Linked DNA regions of Oryctolagus cuniculus. The protein of the gene in region 2 interacts with the protein of the main gene of each other region in a biochemical or structural test. Links are inferred from orthologs where the notes say so. Each region holds a gene or a part of one and is shown on either strand. Other genes may lie near its edges. The genes, in order: TOLLIP and TOM1.

Region 1 (11,549 bases), on a different chromosome or scaffold from region 2:
GGGGTGGAGAAGCGGCACCTTTGAGAAATACCTGTGTTTTTGCACGTATGTGCAGAACACTAATGTTTGGGAAGTGTCTGCACTGTAGAAGCGTGGGGCCCAGAGAGCGGCGCGGGACAAAGGCTGTCCCCTCTGTTTTATTGTGGAAGTAGCTCGTGGTGGGGGGCAGGAGGGGCCTGAGTGCTGGCACGTGGGGCTCCCTCACCTGCTTCCCGACTTCATTCTCCAGAGCTTTTGAACACAGTGGGCCCTGTGGCCCTCAGCAGCCCGGCCCCTGGGGTCTTCCCCCTTGTGTTGGGCACGGGAGCCTTGTTCCTTCCTGGTCCCCGTGGTGCGGTTCCCGTCTGGGGAGCAGGTGCCTTTGTGTTGCCATGGGATTTGTTCCTAGGAGCAACAATGGGACCCTAGAGGGTTTGCTAGTGTTGGACTCTGTTCATCCTGTTCACTCAAGCAAGGCTGTTTTAAAACTCCACAAGTATCTGTTATCAGAATTAATCTTTTTTAATATCGCAAAGTCCTTGAGCCTGAATCAAGCCAGAATCACAAGTCCCACGTGCCCGTTTACACACGTTCTCATCGTAATGTGGAAAAGTGAACTTTGGCGTTAGCATTGAGTTTAGAAAGACATCAGAATTGTGTTTGTTGCTGTGCCTCCCACCTGGTCACTGAGCTGAGGGGCGCGTGTCCTGCCGGTCGTGCCAGGCGTGCCTCCCGGTGCTGGTGGCCACAGCTGTGGAGGCAGAGCCGGCTTTCCCCGGCAGGTCGGGAACGTCGGGCCCGCTGTCTCCTCTCCCTCGCAGCTGAATTGAAGTCTGTGGTAGAAATGTGCCATTTGGGATTGATTTTATGTTCGCGGAGCTCAGGACGCAGTGTGCCCACCCCCACCCCACCCTCTCCCGGCTGCACGGGCCTTTGGCCGCTGGCCTCGGTCCTGGGCATCGGCTCCAGATTCTGCTTGGGTTCCCACTGTGGCCCTCCTGTCCCAAGTCCCTTGCTCATCTCTTCCCTCTGGGTCTGTCTCTGCCTCTCACTGTCCCTTGCTGTCAGGGCCAGGGCAGTTTGGGGGTCGTGAGGGATTTTGTAGGATGCCCCAGTGTGGGGGATGGGGTTTGGGAAGAAGGCTGCAGAGGTGAGAGGTTCTCCCCGCGCCCCCTCACCTCAGGGGGCTGCCTCGCTGTGTCCGCTCCCCATGGCGCTGGCCGTGGTGCTGCCGGCGGCCAGCTGTCTCCTCCCAGAGAGCCCCTCCCCTTCGCACGGGGTTCACTGTTCGCATTGTTAGACTCCCTCACTTGATACTTGTAGTTTATGGTTAAATTCTTCTTGGAAAAAACACTAGGTCTTTGGACCTTTCCGAGTAATTTTATATTCCCAGTCTTCAGTGGGGGCCCGGGGGAGGGTGTGATGACAGGGGAAGCGCCACCCAGAATTCCACCCCGAAGGGGACAGGCGGGACGGGCTGTCGCCTCTCCGGAGCCTGCTCTTCAGGGCTTGCGCTGGCCTGCCTGGCCCCCCGCGGGCCCCTGCTGCAGTCTCAGGGTCTCAGGTGAGGCCGTGGGAGCTGGGCTTTTGTGCGTTAATGCCGAGAGCCCGGTTGACATTGGGTCGTCTCTGCGAGATACTCTGTTTACGTTGAGTGGAGACAGATGGCGCAGGCTGTCAGGTGTGAAGGCAGGGCCAGGTGCCCGCGGGAAGACGTCTCCATCACGGTCATTCCATGGACCCCTTCTCACGGCTTTGCCCAGGACAGCTGGCCACGTGGCACCATCTCAGGAGAGCCAGCTGCGGAGTTCCTAGGAGCTTGTGTAGGCCGGAGCTGCCGAGAGCACTCAGACGATGACAGCGGGGTGCAAGCCGGCTGTGCAGCCGTGGTCCGGGAGCCTGTAGCCAGGGCTGGGGAGCCACTTCTTTCTGCCAAACCACACAAGATCAGTTTTGTTTTTTTTTTTTTTTTGGACAGGCAGAGTGGACAGTGAGAGAGAGAGAGACAGAGAGAAAGGTCTTCCTTTGCTGTTGGTTCACCCTCCAATGGCCGCCGCGCTGCGGCCGGTGTACCGCGCTGGTCCAATGGCAGGAGCCAGGTACTTATCCTGGTCTCCCATGGGGTGCAGGGCCCAAGCACCTGGGCCATCCTCCACTGCAGTCCCTGGCCACAGCAGAGAGCTGGCCTGGAAGAGGGGCAACCGGGACAGAATCCAGCGCCCCGACCGGGACTAGAACCCGGTGTACCGGCACCGCAGGCGGAGGATTAGCCTAGTGAGCCGCGGCCCCGGCCAAGATCAGTTTAAAGGCTGGTCTGCTGTAGGTGGGCTGAATCTGGAGTTCAGCCTGCAGTGTCCTTGGCGAGGCCAGAGCCAAAGAAGGCACCGGCCTTGACAGCCTGTGGGTCACACGCTGCCCACCTCTGCTGGAACTGCTCAGTGCTCTGGGAGCCGGCGTCTCCTCCTGTGTCTGTTAGGTCTGCAACTCGGCCTGGGCTGTGCTCCCCAGGCCTGAGCTGGGACACCAGGCGAAGAGACAGACTCTCAGGGGCTCCTGAAGTGACACCCAGTGCCCTGGGGGAGGCGTGCTTTCTGGTAGTGCTTTTTTTTTTTTTTAAAAGATTGATTTATTTATTTGAAAGAGTTACACAGAGAGAGGAGAGGCAGAGAGAGAGAGAGAGAGAGAGAGAGAGGTCTTCTATCTGATGGTTCTGCTGCAACGGCTGGAGCTGCACCGATCCGAAGCCAGGAGTCAGGTCTCCCACGCGGGTGCAGGGGCCCAAGGACTTGGGTCATCCTCTACTGCTTTCCCAGTTACATTAGCAGAGAGCTGATCGGAAGAGGAGCAGCTGGGACTCGAACCAGTGCCCATATGGGATGCCGGTGCTTCAGGCCAGGGCGTTAATCCGCTGTGCCACAGTGCTGGGCCCAGCTGGTAGTGTTCTGAGCACACAATATGGAGCCCACCAGACTGAAGAACCTTCTGGAACCCTGCCTGGAGTCTTGGGGAGACCATGGTCCAGGCAGGCTCAGGGTCTGGTCTGTGGGGCAGAGGCAGTGGGGTTCTGCAGAGCCCCTGGGTGTACCGCATGCTCCTGGCCTCCGTCTGGCCGTGACACACGCCACTTACTTCCCGGCAGGCCCCTCGGCTCTGGGGCTCACGGGTCAGCAGCAGCCAGTGCCCTGAGCACAGCCCCTCCCTCCATGGTAGTTTCTTGGCCCAGAGGCCGTGACCTGTGTCACGGAGGGGCGGTCTTCCCACTGTTCACCGCGCCCGCCTGCTGAAGCCCATGCAGGCTCCTCAGGCAGTGTGGCCATCTTGAGGACCCCAACGGACCCCTGCCCTCAGCCCTCCTGCCGGGGACCCCAGACACTTGGGTCGTTTCTGGCCGCCATTGCTTTGCCGCGAGTCCCTGCAGTGTGGCCCCGGCGGCTCCTGCACCATCTCCTTTGCTTCTCTCCTGTGTGAACCGCTCCTGGGGTCACTTGCAGGCGTCCCTGCTAATCCTCGCTAAAGTCTACTCCTGAGTGTTTGGGGTCCTTCGAGTTTCTCTGGAATTCATTCCCTGGGGTGTCTTTCTCCTGCCCCAGTAGCTCCTCTGTGTCCCGCCCTCTCCCTGCTCATGGTGGGGGTGCTGGGCGGGGCCCACCTAGCCGCAGGACCCCTGAGAAGGAGGTCAGATGTCCACAGGGCTTTGTCTGGGTCTGTTTACTTCTTGTCTTCTCCTGGGACAGTTCTGCATCTGGACTGTCTCAGGTGTAGGCGTGGCTGCGCGCCAGCGCACGGGGCTCGCAGATGACCTTGGCCAAAGATCAGATCTCCTCTCGCTCCTGTCTGACCGTGCCGCGCGTTCACTGACCTTGGCTTCAGTGTGGACACGCGGAAGGGAAGCGTGTGGGCGGCAGCCTGCCAGGCCTGCCTGGGGGAGCGGAGCCTGTGTTCAGTGGCAGAGGCGGCAGAAGCTCTCCGGGCGGAGGGACGACGGCCCTTTGCTGATGGTCAGGGTGCAGGCGCTGGAAGGGCTGAGCACCGTGTGGGGCTTGGAGAGGAAATGGGTGGGGGTGGGGGCGCAGACTGGGCCCTGGGTGGAGCCCAGAGGCTGCAGTTTGCACCGGGCTCCCGGCATCTGACGCCGTCTCCCGCCCTCGCCCCGGCAGGTGTACATCGGGGAGCTCCCGCAGGACTTCCTCCGCATCACGCCCACGCAGCAGCAGCAGCAGATCCAGCTGGACGCCCAGGCCGCGCAGCAGCTGCAGTACGGAGGGGCGGTGGGCACCGTGGGCCGCCTCAGCGTCACCGTGGTGCAGGTGGGCACTGGCGGTGGGGGGGATTCCTGCTGGACAAAGGGCACCTTGCATCTGGGTGTGCCGACACTCACATATGATGCTGAGTGACGACCGATTCCGGGATTCTGCCAAAAATAACTCGAGAGTTGGGTGATAACGGTTGCTGGACGTCGGCCCTGTGCCAGACCCTGTTCTTCCACGGGGCAGCCGGGGGTGGGGGGCTCAGAGCAGCCCAGTGCTCCCTCGGCCAGCTGAGACAGCAGTGTCGTCACTGTTGTGTCCAGCGGTATCGCCGTTGCCGCCGAGCTAAGTCCTATTAAAACGAAGGCAGCTTGGCAGTCGGCGCACAGTGGGGCGTTTAAATGCCCTGCTTACAAGGCGTGCAGGCTGCCGGAGCTGCGGAGGCCAAGGGCCACTGTGTGCTGGGGGCACCGTGAAGACTGGTCACCTCAGTCCCTGACCTGCGCAGGCCCACGGGCTGCAGGTGGACTGCAACACTGAACGTGGCTCGCTCACACCAAGCGCCCTGTGAAGCCGAGCAGACGTGCAGGGCCTCGCGGGTGCAGGGGGCTTAGGGGGCCATCATCAGGGGACTCCCGCGTGCTGGCCTGGAACTTGCTGCTCACTGGAGCCCTGGGCTGCCACCTCCTGGTGGGGTGCTGCAACTGCAGGTGCTCGGGTCCGAGTGCCTGGCCGGGCTCGCAGGGGCCTCCGCGGTGCCCGCTCCCTCGAGCTCACCACAGGCTGCCTGTGTGCTATGGCGGTGCCAGGCCCTGGTTCCTGAAGAGGCCTCCTGGTCGCTTCCCCAGCGTTTCCCTTCCTTTTTGGGAACCCTTCTTCTGTCCAGGCGGCTACACGTCTCCTGGCTGCCTCCCCTGGAGGTCTCCGAGCCCCACGGCTGCCCTGAGAGCAGGTCAAGTCTGTGCCCTTCTCGTGCCCCAGGGCCTGTGAGCGTGTGCAGACCTGGCCCCTGGCGCCACCCCGTGCGGCTGGGACTCCTGCAGAGCACGGCACTCACGCCCTCCCTGGTGTCTGGTCAGCCTTTCAGACGCATGCAGCCAGGTGGCCGTGTGTCGTCTCCTCCTCGCCACCCTGTCTCAGCACAGGCCGCAGCCCGGGCCCCTTCATCTGCCCCCAACCCCATGCCCTGTCTCAGCACAGGCCGCAGCCCGGGCCCCTTCATCTGCCCCCAACCCGTGCCCTGTCTCAGCACAGGCCGCAGCCCAGGCCCCTTCATCTGCCCCCAACCCCATGCCCTGTCTGAGCCCCCCATGCCCACTCTGAGCCCCCCATGCCCACTCTGAGCCCCCGTGCCGTGTCTCAGTGCAGGCCGCAGCTCCGCTGCCTCTGTGCTCAGCTGCTAGAACAAGGCTGGGGCTGGTTGCTCCCCGCATGTTCTTCGCACGCGCCGGCAGGGAGACTCCGCAGGGCTGGGGGAAGTCAGCTGCGGTAGATGTCTGTCACTGGCCCTGGAGGGTGGAGTCATGTGGACCAGAAGCAGGTGTAGGGGAGCAGGTGGACAGGTTAGGGAGGCCAGGGCTGGCAGCGCGGGGCTGAGAGCAGACTCCCAGGTAGGACTGGGCAGGCGTGGCTGTGGGGGCTGGGTGAGGATGGCCTCCGTCCTGACCACGGCAGGCCGGGCTCGCTCACCCTGTGACGTCCTGGAAGGCCCTTCTGTGAGCAGGCCCGAGTGGAAGGGTGCGGGGAGGCCGTGGGGTCCGTGCAGGGCAGAGGCCTCTGCTGGAGTCTGAGGAAGGCGGGCAGCTGGACAGGGCGGTGCCGGCAGCGGGGTCTCTGCCTGCAGGCACCACCGCGTGTCCCTGAGTCCTGACGCGTCACAGGCCCCTCCCTGTGCTGAGGACGGAGGACTCTGCCCGCCCTTCAGAGTCCCTGCGTCAGCAGCTGGCGCCCTGGGCCTGCCGGGCCCTGGTGGGTGCCGTGGGTGGCCTGGTCTTTGTGGAGTTTCAAGGAGGCATCACAGCTGCGCGGGGCTGTCTGAATGTCGGCTGCCTTCCTCGGCCTGGGGCCTGGGGCCTGCCGTGGGAGCCGCCCCCCAGCTTCCAGTGACGGTGCCGCTGTGCTTTACCACGGGGTGCTGAGCCGGCCGGGGCTGGGGCTGGGCTCCGGCTGGATTGGGGGAGCTGTCTGTCTGGTGTGTGGTCTCACTGGAGTGTGGTTTGCACTTCCCTGATGGGGGTGCTCAGCATCTTTGCCTGTTGGTGACCGATATTTCCTCCAGTCTTGGCCTGTTTTCGCTGGGTGCTCTCCCCGTTACTGAGACCTGAGCGTCCTTCGATGTCCTGGCTGCCAGCCCTGCATCACGGGAGACTTTGCAAAGCACTTCTCCCGTCTGTGGTCCCTTCGTGTCCTGCGCGGCCGCTCTGAGCAGCCTCTGAGTTCCGGTGGGAGTGTGGTTTGTCAGGGTCCTCGCCGTGGTCTCTGCTTTTGCTGCCTGTCCTGACCAAGGTCACAGTGTTTTCTCGTGGAGGTTTCTGCCCAGACCTCTGTAGCCGCTTCACCAGCAGTCTTAGCTGCCGGAGCCGCGCGTCTCGCTGGTGCAGTCACCAGCCCAGCGCCGTCGCGCATCTGGGCCCAGCCAGCCTCCTCCTGCCCGACAGCAGGGCCTGCGCTCTGGGAGGTGTGCTCGCGTGCTTCAGCCCCTGCCCCTGCGGCCCACCCCCCGGGGAGGGGAGAGGCTGGGGGCTGCCGTCTCTGAAGCGCTCCGGAGCAGGTGTCCTGAGGCCCGGCCTGTGGCCCCTGGAGCCTGTCGCTCTGCACCGTGTCAGCGGTGCCCCCAGCCAGCGGGGGGAGGCCGAGCAGCCCTCCTCGGAGGCTCTGCCTCCTGGCTCTGGTGCCCTGGAGGATGAGGTCCGGCTGTGTCCGGGTGAGTCAGAATGGCTGTAACCCGCACCCCTGGGGCAGGCCGGTGGGAGGGTTCCAGAAGGCACAGTTTGGGTGAGCGTCCGGCTTCTGCCCTGACGCTCGGGGCCTCGTTTTTCTGAACTTGATTTCAGGCAAAGCTGGCGAAGAATTACGGCATGACCCGCATGGACCCGTACTGCCGGCTGCGCCTGGGCTATGCCGTGTATGAGACACCCACGGCCCACAACGGTGCCAAGAACCCACGCTGGAACAAGGTCATCCAGTGCACGGTGCCCCCGGGGGTGGACTCTTTCTACCTGGAGATCTTCGACGAGGTGAGCGGGATGCCCGGCTGTGCCGGGGGCAACACTGTGCCGTGCGGGCGCCTCGGCCGCGTGCTGTCGACAGGCGCGCACACCTGCACGCTGTCCCACTGCCTCTGGAAAAGAAGCACCCTTCTCAGCTCCTTGACAGCGTTTGGAAACAGTCACCAGTGAGACACACTGGACACTGGGCAGAGTGGACCTGTCCCGTCCCTGGGCTCAGCGAGGTAGCTGGCCGTGTGGGCGAGCTGCACCTCTAGGGAGTCACACGCGTGGCCAGGAGCGCCTCCTGAGTGTCCCTGAGCCGTGTCTATGCACGTGTGCCTCAGGTGGGATGTGGGGGGCCCTGGTGGAGCCGGGCTCAAGGACAGCAGAGGGGAGGGCGTGTGCAGCTGGCTCTGCCTCTTGCCCCTGCCCGACCCCCTGGCTTTCCCTCCAGTGGCCCCTGGGAAGACAGGGAGCATGTGGGGAGCCTGGCAGGCTGTGGGGACGTCACAGCAGCGTCCCCTCCCGGGACATCAGGGCTCGTGGGTGGCAGCCAGGGGAACAGGGCCAGCTGGAGGGCAGAGGAGGGGCAGCAGGCGTCGCTGGGCTAGGGCAGATGGACTGCAGCCCAGAGGGAGTCTGTCCCCGTCCTCAAGCCTGGCCCTGCCCCCTCTTCCTGTCCTGGGAGGGGAGCCCAGGACCGTTTGCCGGTGGTCCTGAGGCGTGCTGCTGGGGAGGCGGCGGGCTGACAGCCGTGTTTCTGGGACACGAGGCCTGTGGGCCCCCGGGAGCTGACCTCCCTCCTGTCGTCCTCAGCGAGCCTTCTCCATGGACGACCGCATCGCCTGGACGCACATCACCATCCCCGAGTCCCTGAAGCAGGGCAAGGTGGAGGACGAGTGGTACAGCCTGAGCGGGCGGCAGGGCGACGATAAGGAGGGCATGATCAACCTGGTCATGTCCTACACGGTGAGGCTGGGTCACGGGGTCACGTCCTGCACAGGGAGGCCGGGTCACGGGGTCACGTCCTGCACGGGGAGGGAGGGGTCACGGGGTCACGTCCTGCACGGGGAGGCCCGGGTCACGGGGTCACGTCTTACATGGTGAGGCCCGGGTCAGCAGGGTCATGTCCTGCACGGGGAGGGAGGGGTCACGGGGTCACGTCCTGCACAGGGAGGGAGGGGTCACGGGGTCACGTCCTGCACGGGGAGGGAGGGGTCACGGGGTCACGTCCTGCACGGGAAGGCCCGGGTCACGGGGTCACGTCTTACATGGTGAGGCCCGGGTCACAGGGTCACGTCCTGCACGGGGAGGGAGGGGTCACAGGGTCACGTCCTGCACGGGGAGGCCGGGTCACGGGGTCACGTCCTGCACGGGGAGGGAGGGGTCATGGGGTCACGTCCTGCACGGTGAGGCCGGGTCACGGGGTCACGTCCTGCACGGGGAGGGAGGGGTCACGGGGTCACGTCTTACATGGTGAGGCCCGGGTCAGCAGGGTCACATCCTGCACGGGGAGGGAGGGGTCACGGGGTCACATCCTGCACGGTGAGGCCCGGGTCACGGGGTCATGTCTTACATGGTGAGGCCCGGGTCACGGGGTCATGTCCTGCACCGGGAGGGAGGGGTCACGGGGTCACGTCCTGCACGGGGAGGGAGGGGTCACGGGGTCACGTCTTACATGGTGAGGCCCGGGTCAGCAGGGTCACATCCTGCACGGGGAGGGAGGGGTCACGGGGTCACATCCTGCACGGTGAGGCCCGGGTCACGGGGTCACATCTTACATGGTGAGGCCCGGGTCATGGGGTCACGTCCTGCACGGTGAGGCCCGGGTCACGGGGTCACGTCCTGCGTAGGGCTGGAGTCTGCTCGGGGTGGCCTGCTCACACTCTCGGACCCTCTGGGTGGTGCCGAGGCCAGGGGGCGGGATCCCTGCGGTGGCTCCAGGGCAGCCGTTATTCCTGAGGACAAAGACCAGAGGCCAGCAGAGCGCAGCAGCAGGGGAGGACGCAGGCCCTGGGCTGGCTGTGGGCGCTGCCCCTCCCTGCCCCTGCAGCCTGGACAGGCAGCGCCCTGTGTCGATCCTGGGCAGGCAGCGTGTCTTGTCTCGGGCCCTGCTGTTGGTGTCAGGGTCCCCCAGGGCCTGAGACGCGGGCAGAGGGATGGATGGTCCTGGGGCTGCCGCGTGGTCAGGTCTGCTTTTCCCATCAGGCAGTGACGGGCGGTGAAGTGAGGAGGCCGCCCTGGCTGTGCTGGGCGGGGCCCGGTGCCTTGGGCCCCCCCGCCCCGTTCTTTTTTTTTTTTTTTTTTTTTTGACAGAGTGGACAGTGAGAGAGAGAGAGACAGAGAGAAAGGTCTTCCTTTGCCGTTGGTTCACCCTCCAATGGCCACCGCGCTGATCCGATGCCAGGAGCCAGGTGCTTCTCCTGGTCTCCCATGGGGTGCAGGGCCCAAGCACTTGGGCCATCCTCCACTGCACTCCCGGGCCACAGCAGAGAGCTGGCCTGGAAGAGGGGCAACCGGGACAGAATCCGGCGCCCCGACCGGGACTAGAACCCGGTGTGCCGGCGCCGCAGGCGGAGGATTAGCCTAGTGAGCCGCGGCGCCGGCCTCCCCCCGCCCCGTTCTTGAGGTAGCTGCGGCTGCTGGGCTCCTCGGGTCCTGGGTCCTGCCACCTCCTTGTAGCACTCAGGGCTTTTTTTTTTTTTTTTTTTTTTTTTTTGTTCAAAGATTGATTTGAAAGGCAGAGTTATGAGTTATGGAGAGGAAGAGAGGGGTCCTCTGTCTGCTGGCCCAACCCTGACTGGCTGTGACGTTTGAGCTGTGGGTACAGGGTCCTGAACCAGGCCCCTGGCTGTGACGTTTGAGCTGTGGGTACAGGGTCCTGAACCAGGCCCCTGGCTGTGACGTTTGAGCTGTGGGTACAGCGTCCTGAACCAGGCCCCTGGCAGGCAGCATTCATGTGTGCTGCCGTGGCCATGTGGCCGTGTGGGAGGGGCCCTCGGGGAACCTGCTGCCTGGTCCCCAGGGCTCTGCCCCCAGCCCTCCCCTCCTCTGGGTGTGTTTGTCACTCTTGCTGTAAACCACAGCCGTGAGAGTGATGGTGTCTGAGTCCCAGGGACCCCAGCACAGTGGTGTCCTCACGTCCCCATCTACTGCAGAAAAGGCAGCAGCGACGCGCGTGTGTGTGTGGACACCTGCTGCGGCAGCCATGTGTGTGTGTGCGTGTGTGTAGACACCTGCCGCGACAGCGACGTGTGTGTGTGTGCGTGTAGACACCTGCCACAACAGCGACGTTTGTGTGTGCGTGTGTAGACACCTGCCATGGCAGCGACGTGTGTGCGTGTGTGTGTGTGTGTGTGTGTAGACACCTGCCATGGCAGCGACGTGTGTGCGCGTGTGTGTGTGTGTATGTGCATGTGGACATCTGCCGTGGCAGTGCGTGGCAGGTGCGCGGCAGCTGGTGGGGCAGTCCCTCCCTTCCTCTCCTCGTGGGAGACCCGTCTACGGCTCCCGGAGCCTCTCCCGATACAGCCTTGGCTTCTCCTCTGGGAGGACCAGGCGGCCCGCGAGTCTGCGTTGTCTCCTGGGGAGTGGTGTGGGCGGCTTCTCGGCGTGCTTGGTGCTGGACCTGCTGTCCTGCGTGGAGACTTCGTCCCCTCCGGAGGCGCCGCACTCTTAGACTCCTGTGCTGATTCAGCGCCGCTTCTGTGTCTGAGCCTGCGGCGGGCGCGTCCAGAGCTGGGCCTCCCAGCGCTGACCCCGTCCTTGCCCCGCTGCCTGGGGGCTCCCTCGCAGGGGCCTCCCGCCAGGCCCCGGGCGAGCGTCTGTCCGTGCCTTCCTTCTCCCCTTCTCCTCCCCAGCCAGGGGCTCCTGGAAGTCGGGTCAGACCTGCCGTGTGCTGAGCGCAGCTAGCACGCTGGGACCTCAGGGTCACCGCCCTGCCCAAGGGTGAAAACTCAAAATAGACCTCAGGAGACTAAACCGGCGCCCTCTCGGGCGTCCAGACAGCTCATTAGTGGAACGTGATCCGTCTCCACGCCAGGCTCGCTGGCGTGCACAGTGAGGGCGCTGGCAGGTAGTCCTCGCTGGGTGTCTTTGTTTCCAATGGTGTTGC
Region 2 (12,171 bases):
GTTTCGTGGGACAACAGCTGAGCCTCCAGACTGCGGGGGCGGCGGGGGGGGGGAGGTCTTCCATCTGCTGGTTCACGCCCCTCCGTGGCTGCAATGGATGGGGCTGGGCCAGGCCAAAGCCGTGAGCCAGGAACTCTATCTGGGTGTCCCGTGTGGGTGCCATCTTCCACTGTGTTTCCAGGCGCATTAGCAGGAGCTAGTTGAGAAGTGGCGCAGCCAGGACTTGGACTGGCGCCCATGTGGGGTGCTGGTGTTGCAGGTGGCGGCTTTACCCGCTGCACCACAGCACCCTGGCCCCAGACTTCTAGTGACTACAGCGCACGTGGCAGCAGCTCCAGCCACTGCTGGTGGGGTTTTGTTTTCTGCAGCCAAAGGCAGCCCCGATGACCTCTCCACTGTGTGCCCAGAGCACCAGCTGCCCCGGCTTCCCCGAGGGGCTGCTGGGCTCAGGATGACAAAGGCCAGACCCAACAGCTGTCCAGCTGTCCTCCTCCCACCTGAATGCCTGCCCCCAGGCCTCGCTCCAAGGTCAGGTGTGCTCCTGGAGCCTGTCCTCGGTCCCACGGCTGCTCCTTCTGCTCAGGGCCCCAGAGCACTCTGTGTGGACCACAGTATAAGCTCTGCGCATAACTCTCCCGATTCCTTTGTTTCCACGCCTCTCTCTCTCTCCCATCAGGCTGTGAGCTCCTCACGGGTAGAAGTTATGGCCCAGGAGCTACCCAGTTCTCTCCAGCAGAGCGGAGCTGGCCCGTGATAAACCTGTACTACCTGTTTGTGGAATGACTGAATGGGGGACGAGGCCACCGTCACCAGCACAGTCAAGCTTTGTAACACTTGGGTTTCCGTGACCCACTGTCACCCCTGCCACTCGCGATCCGGTCGGAGCTGCCACACGGACAGCTTTCTTTCTCCCAGCGGACAGTCCCGGGACATTTTTACAGAGCGCCGTGTCCCTCCGGGATCTGCCTCCCTGTCCCCGCCCAGCGACCTCAGCACCTTCGACCTGTCCACGAGGGCCTCGGCTGCTCGGACCTCCCCTGGGGCCACAGGCCAGCTGAGCCACCTGGAGATGCAGCGTGGGACGCCCCTCACTGTGCATAGCTGCCCTCACGCACGCTGCGTCTCTCTGGATACACGGGAGTTTGCACAGGCTTCTGCTCTGTTCCGCTGCAGGGAGCCCCCTCCGACAGCTTGCCACTAGGAGAGGCCCTCGCCACTGGCTCCTCCAGTCCCCACCAGGCCCTGGGAGTTGCTCCTGGCCCCGGAGACCCAGGAGGAGGTGTGCAGGGCAGCTCCTGCTCACAGGGACACGGGCAGAGCATCAGGACGAAGCTGATATCCATGGGGGCGGGAGGCAGGACTATGGAAAAAGCCACCCCCCACAAGCTCACTCTGGACAGACAGTGAAGATCCCTTCAATTCTGATGGGCAGCGGGGGGTGAGTTAGGAGTGTGGGATACGAACACTCGGCTATGCACCCAGCTCGAGGCCTGCCCCTGCCCCAAGTACCCCGCAGCTGTGTGACGCTGGGCAAGCTCCTTGGCCTCTCTGTGCTCCAGTTCCTCCTCTACAGAATGGGGACCATTGCGCTCTCGCGGGCCAGGGCTGTGTGAGGAGACAAGAGCGCGTGTCTTCAAGCACGTGGTAGCCACCCGGGACAGAACTAACGTCATCCTCCACAAAAATATCAACCATGAAAGGCCTGCTCAGAAATTCCAGTGGTTAAGATGTCAGCTAAGATAGGCACGACCACATGGCAGGGCCTGGGTTCCGGTCCCGGCTTCCCTCCTCGGACTAGCTCCTTGCCAGCTGCACCCGGGGAGGCGCCTGCCGCCTACGCGAGAGACCTGGGTAGGGCTCCCAGCCTCCTGGCTTCTGCTTCAGCCCAGCCCTGCCCTGGCCAGTCTGAGTACGGGAGAGGGAACCAGCAGACAGGAACTCTCTCTCAACCTGTCAGTTTCTGTCTCTTTCTTTGAGTCTCAAAATAAATAGCTAGAAACTTGGAACAATCGTTAGGCTCTACACCGGAAGCGGCAGCCAGCGGCTTGTCTTGACGCCTGTTTGCCGAGTGCACAACTCTTCCCAGCCCTGGCATGGGAAGTGCCAGCAGCTTCCCAAGCAGCGGAGCCGCCCTTCCTTAAAGCCCTGGCTGCTCTCCCCTGTCATTTTTAACCACAGGCCACAAGCGCAGCCCTAAAATACCTTAGGGAGGGCATTACTTCTGCAACCCACGACTTGAAAGTGATGGAGGAAACTCTGGCCCCTCGCTGAAGACCCCGTGAGTGGGGTGCGGGAGGGCTGCCCCGCCCCGCCCCGCCCCGCCCAGTGAGAGGCAGCAGGGCTCTGAAGTCAGAGGTGTAGATGGCATTTTTCAAATAATTTGTATTTATGTGAAAGGCAGAGAGAGAGAGAGAGAGAGAGCGAGCGAGCGAGCGAGCGAGAGCTCTTCCATCTACCAGTTCACCCCGCAAATGCTCCAACAGCTGGGGCTGGGCTGGCCCAAAGCCAGAAGCCTGGAAAACACCCGGGTCTCCCAGCCGCCTCCCAGGGTGCATTAGCAGAAAGCTGGAGTCGGGGGAGCCGGGATTGGAAGCCAGGCGCTCTGATAGGGGACGCAGGTGTCCCAAGCAGCAACTTAGCCACTGTGCCAAATGCCTGCCCCTACCACGATGTCCTCCCACTTGTGAGTATGAAAGATATTACTGACAAGCTAGCAGCGGCGAGGGAGAGGGACTTCTCTCAGTCAGAGTTCCCCAGAGAAACAGGACCAAAAGAAAAGAGCGAGAGCGAGAGCGAGCGAGCATGCGATGGAGGTTTATTTTAAGGATTGGCTCAGGAGACTGTAGAGGCCTGGCAAGTACAAAGCCCATAGGGCAGGCTGGCTACGGCTCCAGCCGTTCAAGGACAGCGACTTCTTGGGAGGCTGGTCTTTTTCTAGTCAGGTCTTCAACTGCTTGGGTGAGGCCCACCCACACTGCTTTGCTGGAGTCGACTGATTTAAATCAGAGACATTCAGCACGCTGCTTGACCAAATACTTGGGGACTGCGGCCCAGTCCAGCGGCCACTCAGCTAACCGCCGCAGGGTTTACCCTGCACTCGCACAAACAAGCCCGAATCAAACTGCGAGCGCCTCTGTCTAAATTCTCCGTGACTCTAGGCCACGCAGTCTGGCTGCTTCCTCCCTCCGCTGGCCCTTCCCTTCCTCTCTCCATGGGAGCAGAGCCCAGGCCCCTCCTCAGGGCTTTCACCCCGACCCCAGAGGGGGGGTACCCAGCAAGGAGGGATGCAGCCGGCACCTGAACCCGCGCCCAGGCTAAGTTCCAAGCTGCTTGCATCCAAGAGATCCAAATGGGCCACCAGGAGCTGCTAGGGGACTGACTCACAGGCAGAGTTCCGTCTGTATCTTCACGCGCAGCCGGAGCAAAGCCCGAAGCAGCCCACGGAAGCCGTGATTCCTCAGCTCGCGTTATACACGGTGGGCCAGCTTACAGCAGGTGAGCCGGCTGGATACAAACACCACGGGACAGCGGCGAAGGTGGCAGGAGGGGGGCGGGGCGGGCGCCCACACCACGGAGGCCTTCCGAGAGCACCCGCCCCATCGGACCTCCCTGGCAAGGACAGAAAGAGTTAACTTGTCCTGACTCCTGCCCCAAGCCAGTGAGAAGACAACAGAGGGGTTTTGTATTTTTTTTTTTTCCTAAAACCAAGAGACTGGAATTCCGGGACTTGACTCTTATTTCTTTGAGCTCATTGAAGGAACAAAACCTATTCAGGATCCTGATCCAAAGGCCCTAATCCCCAAGTGACACCGGGCTCCCCCCGGCCTGAAACCTGACCTGTGACTGCTCCCTCGCCAGGGACACAGACTCACACAGAGGCTGCCCGGCACTCAGTGCCCTGGCCTGGCACCTTAGCTCGGCCGCTACCCGCTCATGCAGTGGCCCCGAGAGGACACCTTCCCCCCCATGGCGGGCCCTGGGCCAGGCGCCCACACCGCAGCAGCCCCGCAACCCACCAGAGGGGGCGCTGCTATTAGCCTCTGTCAGGTGAGGCGCCTGGAGACCAGAGGTTGAGCTGCCTGCTCCTGGGGCCCAAGTGGGTGAGGACCCCGTGGTCCTCCTCGCGCTGGCCCCGGGCCTTCCTGCTGGGCACACGGCCGACGCGAAGCCCTCTGTCCACACAACCCCCTCACCCTCGAGATGGACACCTGGGCACCCATCTGGCTCCTGCACTCGCTCCCCAGGGCCCTGGGCCCCTCTCTGAGGCACACGGCCTCCGCCCCGCCTCCGCCCCGCTCTGACCCCGCAGCGCCCACCCGACGAGCCCACGTGCCCGATTCAGCCTGTTTCTGGAGGTCTGCGGCCTGGGGATGGTCTTCACGCTGTCAGAGGCTTGGGACAAAAGTCAAATGTGGAAATCACGCGAAATTCAAATCTCAGGGCCCGCCTAAGTGCAGCTCTGGGGGCGCAGAGCCACACCCATCCGCCCGGCTCTGCGCTACCAGGGCAGAGCTGGGTGCGAGGAGTCTGATCCGGGCCAGTGCGGGGGTCCCCTTCATGGCCTCCCCCTCCGGCCGCTGCCTTCCCACTGCTGTCAGGGAGCTCACTACTCAGGCGGCGTCTTCCTCAGCCGCCCCGGCTCTTCCTCCCGCCACATCTGCGCTCCCGGAGCCTGGTGCAGTCACCTCTCTCCTCCCTGCTGTCGGATCCCTCCCGGCCATCGCGGCCTTCTTCCCCACCCAGGGGGACTGGGGCGCCCCCTGTCTTGGATAGGAGATGGGGGGAGAGGCAGTGTGACCCAGGAGCAGCCTGGTGACCCTGCCACGACCATGCGTGAGGGTCCACGTCAGCTTCCAGCCCATGGCTCCCACGCCGGCCCCCCAGGGCCCGAGGTGGTCTCCCAGGAGTCCTTTCTGTGGCTCCCCTGGCTGGGCCCCCGTGATCCGAGGACGGCTGTCCCTGCCTCTCCTCCCCGCCTCTTCCATCTCAGCGTTCAGTCAAGAGGTGCTGAGCTCTTGTCCGGGCACAGCCAGCCACCATCCCCACCCTCCATCTGCCGGGCAGCCCACACGGGCTGTCCCTGTGGTCTGCAGCTCACGTTCACCCATCCGCTGGGGCTCGGACTCAAAGCGCCAGACATGGCTGACTTCTGACATCTGTCCGTTAAACACAGCCCTGGAGAAGACCCGGCGAAGGTCTGAACTCCTGCAGAGCAGGGCTGTGGCCACAGCAGGGGCACAGAGGGCGTGGCCCCCAGCCGTGATCTTGGAGGGGTGGGGGGCTGCCCACCCCACAGGAGCACTGGGCACCCGGGGCAGCGTGCTGAGGGCGCCAAGGGAAGACCCTGAACAGTGGAGAGACCCCGGGTGCCCAGTGCTCTCTGCCTCAGGCTGACTTCCGGGGCAACGGGGAAAACAGTAAAACCTGCGGACAACACCCCGGGTGTCAGCACAGCGTCGGGGGCCCGGCCCTGGCTCAGAAACGCCAGCTTCCTCCCCCGCCAGGCCCCACGCTAGGGACTGAGCGTCCATACCCACGGCGCAGCTCCCGCTCTCTGGAAGTGCCGTTCGGTGGGCACGGGGAGACACACAGGCACGGCAGTGGCTCAGGGTGCTGATGGTGGAAACAAAAGTGACGAGGCTGATGACAGCAAGAGCGAACGTTTACTGCCAACAGCACTGTGCCAGGCACTCTGTGGGGACCAGCCTACAACATTCTCCAGGGGAGGAAGCCAGTGGCCCAGGGAGCTGGGCGCTTGGGAGAGCAAGAAAGCAACGGCGGGTCTGACAGGATCCGGGAGGGCTTCAGGGAGGAGGTGTCGATGCCCTGCACTTTGCAGGATGAGCCTGGCTTCCAGAAACACAAGTAGATCCTACCAGGTCATCCATCCTCACAGCTGATGAGCAGCACCCCGTCTCTTTCTAAAAGAGGCACATAGAACACAGAGGGCGTGACCTCGGTGGTGTGTGTCCATTTCACTGGGCTGGAGAGCCTCTGCAGTTTTGGGTGAAATTCTAGCGGCTCGTGGGGGGTCTCAGCTCTGCTATCATGGGGGGGGGGGCTACTCTCATGGGAAGGGAGGGAGCTGAGCTGGGCTAGAACTGAGTTTTCCAAGATGTGGCCTCCCGAATGCAGACCCTGGGGACCCTGGGGTGGGTTCCACCCGTGCCCTCCCAGGTCAGACACTCCCCGGTAGGGGCCCAGGAGTGAGACCGGAGCTGCTTGAGCTTTTCAGCTCCAAAACAATGACTCACGGTGGGGTGGGGCGTGCGTACTGGCCCTCTGAGCTGCGGGAAGCCAGGCGCTGGGCCTCTGAGACCACGCCCCCCACCCAGGCCCGTGTGCACCCCACACTGCCAGAACCCTTGCTTTGGAGAGAAACAAACAAATAAACAAAACCAAACCACTAGAGAGCCACAAAGGGCTGCGATGGCCATTCCAGCCTGGGCGGAGGAGACAGGAGCCGGCTTCCAAGACAGTGAGCACGGAAAACAATGTCTTATCTAAAAGATCCAATTTCCCCACTCCGGCCTGAAGGCTGAAAGCCATCAAAAGGACCAGCAGAGCCTCTCACAGCGCTTGGAGGCTTCCTCGGACAAGCCCCGGGGTCGGCCCCTGCCGGCTGCCCGGCGCCCCCCACCTGGCGGGGCTTGCTGTCATACAGCGCAGGCCTTGCGCCAGGCCGTGTTCTGGGTGCTGGTTCGCGAATCTCAACTTGGAGCCCACGGACACAGGCCTCAGTGCCCTCGTTACCGGCGAGGCGACCTCGGGCCGGCCGCTGCGTCACAGCGCGATAGATAAGGCTCCGGTCACCAGGGCTGTAAAGCAGCGGGAGTCCGGGCTCGGCGGCCCCAAAGCCCTGGCCGCGACGCGTGGCTTCCGAGGTCGCTTCGGCTCTCGGGTCCAGCTGGTGCTGGCCGGTGAGAGGAGCCGCGGCACACACCGCTGAGAGCTGGGTCTACGACCCCGGCCTGCAAGCGCTCGGGGCCCCGGGGGGAGTGGGGCGCCCGGTACCGCCTCCCGCAGGTCGCCCCCAGACGCCAAAGCCCGGGTCTACGCGGTCCTGGGAGCAGGGACGTCTAGCCCTTCTCAGGTGTCCGGGTCCAGAAGCCTGGCGGCGGGGACCCTGGCCGAGGAAGACGCGGTGGGAAACGCGGGGAAGATCGACGGCGACCCAACCACTGCACCACCACGCAGTCCCTTTAACCCCGAAAACTTTCTCCCTCGACCCGGGACCCCGGCAGCCGCACATTGGCTGAACCTCCGCCAGGACCCGCCCTCCCTAGTCATCTATTGGCTGCCGTAAGCATCCATCACAAGCCGAGGACTCCTAAAGGCCCACGTTCCCGTCAATCAGAGGTGGGCGGGAGAGTAGGCGGGGCCGGCTCGGGGGAGCGACACGCCAGCCTCCGGGAGTCGGTGACTGGAGACCTGAAGGCTCCCGGGGGACCGAGGCCGGGTGCGGCGCGCTGGGGCGGGGCCGTGCGGGGCTCCATGAGCTCACCGATGCGCTGTCCCACCGGAGAGCTGAACGGGTTCCCCAGGAGAAAGTCCATCGCCGCGGCAGCCGCTGCTACCAACCCGCGGAATCAGCTGACAGCAACCGCCAGCGCCGCCAATCTGTCACGTGACGCGCCGGACCGCCCGCGGGGCGGGGCCGTGGGGGCGGGGCCAAGGGAGCCGGCGCTCGGCTTCAGGCCCCGCCCCGACTCGCGAGAGGCCGACGCCCCGCGGCGGAGGGCGCTGACCTCGTGGCCTCTGACTCCGATCCGCCTGGCGCCTCGCTCTCCGGCGGGCCGGGGGCGGGGCTTGGAAGCCCGGGCCTTTAGGCCACGCCCCCGGCTGTCAATTAAGGTTTGGGGGCGTGGCCGGCAGGTCTGCACGTCGGGGACAGGACCTGGGTGTGGTTACATAGGTCAGGCGCTCAGTGTCGCTCCTGGCGTCTTAGCCCGTGGACCCTGGGACCTTGCGGCGACCGCACACGCACCCTGCGTGCCTGTTGCCTCCCTGCCCTGACTTCCCGTTTGATGTCGAGGCGTCCCTGCTCTTGTAGCCCCAATCCGCGGACCTCCAGGAGGAGTCCAGGGGCAGGGGTGTGTGTCCCCTGGAGACTGAGAGTCCAGGGCGTCGGCTGGCTACCGCCCAGCACGGCTGCGAGCTCACAGATGCAGTCGCGGGCAGGGCGCGTGGTACCCAGCTCTGCCGTTCATCTGTGAGATCCAAACAGCCAGCTGCATTTCCTCTGGGTCCTGGAATTAGATCAAGGACTTGGCACTTTTTTTTTTTTTTTTTTAGGTCACAGGCTCCTCTGGGAATTTGATGAAAGCCACAAGACTTTCTGAAGAAAAAAAGGCAGTGGGTTCAGTTTTGCTTGTAACCTCATTATTACTGGGGTCCCTGTAGCACAGGGTGGCCTCCAAGTTAGGAATCTCGAAGGCCTTGCCTAGCCTTGTGATCCAGTATCTTTTCGTGTCCCTGGCTGTGTACCACGTGCGAGACGCCACCTGCACCTTACAGACGCCGTCTGTGGATTCCCGACGCTGTCCTGGGCGCTTGGGCCACTGATCCTGATGCGATGCTTAAATCTGAACTTGGAAAACCGGTCAAATCTCCATCTAACCCAGGTCCATATGATGAAACGTGCACGTCAGGCTGGCTGGCTGGCGGCCTGGAGCCAGGGCAGTGACACGGACACTTTTACAGAGGGCACTCCGGAAGCCTGTCAGGCCGCTCACATGGCTTGTCCGGCATCGCTAACTGAGCCAGGGCAGTACTGCATAGCGTGGAATGGACCACAGCGTTCAGGTGCCACCCTTACACAGCACTCACATCTTTGTTTTATTTTGGGGGAGGACTGGTTTATTTATTTGAAAGGCAGAATTACAGAGAGACAGACACACAGCTCTCTCTCCAAATGGCCACAACAGCTGGAGCTGGGCAGATCCAAACCCAGGAGCTTCTTCCAAGTCTTCCACGTAGGTGCAGGGGGCCAAGCACTTGGGCCATCCTCTGTTGATTTCCGAGTGTATTAGCAGGGAGCTGGATTGGAATTACAGCAACCGCGTCTTGAACCGGTGCCCAGATGGGACGCTGGTGTTGCAGGTGTTGGCTTTACCCGCTGTGCCACAGCGCCGGCCCCAAGTGTCATCTTTATTCAGGCTAACACCACAACGTACAGTCTCACTTGCTGATAGAATTAAATACTAAATTCACTGGATTTGCAGTTTGCAAAAGATAATGAAAGTTTCTACAACAGAAAACCCATACAGAGAGGCTGGTGCGTTGGTCTAACAGGCTGAGCTGCCGCCTGCAACACCAGCATCCCCGTGGGCACTGGCTGGAGTCCCCGCTGCTCCACTGCCGACCCAGCTCCCTGGATGCACCTGGGAAAGCAGAGGAAGATGGCCCAAGTCCTTGGGCCCGGGAAGCTCCCGGTCCCTGGCCTCGGTCTGGCCCAGCCCTGGCTGTTGTGGCCAGCTGCGGAATGAACCAGCAGATGGAAGATCTCTGTGTCTCTCCCTCTCTCTCTGTAACTCTGCCTTTCAAATAAGCAAATACATATTTTTAAAAAAATCAATATAAAACAGAGTTAGGTGTTAGGAAAATGGCTGAGATTGGGAACTTGACCTCTGCTCTAGGTTTATTTATTTAAGAAAATTACAGTAGCATGAAATGTGAAAACTGGTTTTATAACTTTGTAGCAGACATGATTAACATGATTAGGAAAGATAGTCGAGACTGGACTACAAATATTAAAAATGTGGTTTTTAATAATATAAGTACAAAATCTTATTTCTTTATACAACCGTAATGGGATTTGGATCAAACCACTAGAATTTATTTAAAAAAACAAAATAAAACAATGATATAAAAACTGCAAGAAGGTCTGAATCCAAAGATTTTCCTCTAGTAGTACCAAATACCACAAGGTACAGATTATTATACAAATGTGTACAAATTTTAAATACAAATACAATAGGGCTGGGTTTCAAAGGAAAACAAACAAAAAGCAGGTCCTCCCCAGGATTTCATCAACGCACACAAAGGACAGCGGCAGGACTGGTTTCTTCCAGCCCCACTCCTTGCCCCATCACCTTGTGTCAAACAGGAACCTGACCCGGTACTGCGGCCCTGACACCTGCGCTCCAGCTGACTCTGTCCTTGATTTTGGTTCTTAAACATCCCTGTCTCTCTTTCTGCCTCCCGCATTGATTCACAATGTGCTGTGGGCGAGAGAGGAATTCAGCAGACAGAACACTCTCAAGAAGCACAGCCTGGCGAACCACTGTGGGGAGGAGGCGGCAGGCTGGCTGCACCGCACCGCAGGTTCACCTGGACGCCGCGGAACTCCCTCCAGGCCAGAGGGAAGCACGGTGACCTCCCGCTGGGTCTCGGAGGCAGTGCTCAGCTCTCTCTCAGCCACTAGGAAGCCCCAGCCTGGTCTTGGAGGGCAGGGCAGCTGGGCACGGTCACAGGCCTTTTTGTTCCACTTTCCTGACATTATTGGAGGCCATGAAGTTCTTCATAAAGAATCAGAATCCCCACATAATGATTCCTTTTTGAGGTACAATACCTTAAAATGTAGACGACTTGGGAGTTTTGGAACAGATCGGGGGAGGAAGAAAGGGAGAAAAGATAAATTTGTGTCTTCCACATGCTGTTGCTGGTGGAGGCTTTGTTATTAAATTATATATACAACACAGAAATTTACAGGATAAATTAAGGTCTAAGAGATTTTAAAGAGTTAAATACACATAATTAAAACACACATTCACACACGTATATAAATAAACCCACATGAGAAGACTTTTTTGCAGTTCACTTCCATGTGGAATGCAGAACAGACCGCATCTGCCCAAGAGCGGGACGAGTAAGAGGGGCCCAGGAATCACGCCGGGCAAGGTTTACCTTCCACAACTACTGGGCAGAGCAGACCTTGCAAGGACTTTGTGGCCAACCTACTGCTGCCAACGAGACACACCAGCTCTCAGCTGTGCACACCAGACACTCTGGGTCAGCTCAGAGCACGCGCAGGCTCAACTGGTGGCACCAGCAGCTTTGTCCTTTCTAAGGTAGTTTTTGCTGCCAGGGCTCAAATTCACTCTGCGGCCTCTGCTGAGGCCACCAATGGTACCAATGATTACAATAAGATTGGAGACATGGACGCCTGTATTGTAGGAACTGGAATGAACCCCTACTCAGTTCACCCAAGCCATCTTAAGAACTACAATGGGAATGGTTTTGTCACCTCCCACCTAGGTCACTTCAGGTTGAAAGGTTTTGTACTTTCAGTCAATTGGCCTCCTCCCATAATCTTTTCTATCACATTTCTAACTGTAAGACAGGTAAGGCAAATGGTCAGTGATGAGTCTGGAGGTGTAGCTGAGCTTGGAAAGAAAATTTTAGCTGTCCGTAAAGAGATGCACTTGGCACCCAGACAAGCCCCCAGCCCCCAGGTTACACTGATTTTTAAGGCAGATTTGTCCACCATAGGAGAAAAAAGAATCCCAAGCCCACATTCAAGCCAAAGTTTCCTCTTGGCTAAACCTTTGTCATTTCATCAAATTATTAAAAGCAACATAGTTACAGTCCTATGTATATATTGTACATTATATATATATGTGTGTATAGATATATAAAAATTTAAAACCTACACCCAGAGGCCAGCGGAGGGGTCTGGAACAGTTATATATACACAAACCAGCAAGGGGATAGGACAAGGTTTCTGTCCCAGGATGCTTTGCTGTCACAGTCCAGGCATGATGTAAGCAATGTTGTCTAGTGTGTTTGACTGCAAAACAAGGAAAAACGGTTCAGTTGGTCTTGGTTTCCTGAGACACGGTACTTTGTTCAGGGGAAGGAGATGAGAAGGAAGAGGTGGAGTTAGAGAAAACAGATGCGAATGAAGATGGCATCCTGTTGTCTGTTATGCTAGGAGCTTTTCTGCTGACTTCTCTCATTAATCCCAGTAACAAACAGCAGAAAATCCCTGCACTGTCTCTGGTAGAAGAGCAAACAGGAGCTGCAGGAGTTGCAGGACCCCAGGGCGAGACTGCTTCTCTTCAAAGCACTGCTTTGGGAAACAGCATGCATTTAATAAAACAGGATCGACACGGGTCCCTGGGGCTGACGGAGGAAGGAGGCACCCTGTGCCAAGGAGTCTGCCCTTCA

What was found.
Region 1: the proteins of TOM1 (region 2) and TOLLIP form a complex in vitro, tested with the Homo sapiens proteins (3 studies listed by BioGRID and IntAct, with this or other methods). The link is inferred for Oryctolagus cuniculus from reciprocal best matches to the Homo sapiens genes TOM1 and TOLLIP.

What each region holds. Positions count from the first base shown.
Region 1 is NC_091432.1:2,058,243-2,069,791, forward strand, and holds part of TOLLIP (toll-interacting protein), read left to right. Parts: exon of another isoform or gene 1-3,117; intron 3,118-4,136; coding exon 4,137-4,286; intron 4,287-7,279; coding exon 7,280-7,462; intron 7,463-8,251; coding exon 8,252-8,404; intron 8,405-11,549. UniProt on the Homo sapiens protein: Component of the signaling pathway of IL-1 and Toll-like receptors. Inhibits cell activation by microbial products. Recruits IRAK1 to the IL-1 receptor complex. Inhibits IRAK1 phosphorylation and kinase activity.
Region 2 is NC_091442.1:112,891,838-112,904,008, reverse strand, and holds the start of TOM1 (target of Myb1 membrane trafficking protein), read right to left. Parts: upstream 7,664-12,171; 5' UTR 7,557-7,663; coding exon 7,505-7,556; intron 1-7,504. Other genes in the region: HMGXB4 (HMG domain-containing protein 4), read right to left, coding at 11,960-12,070.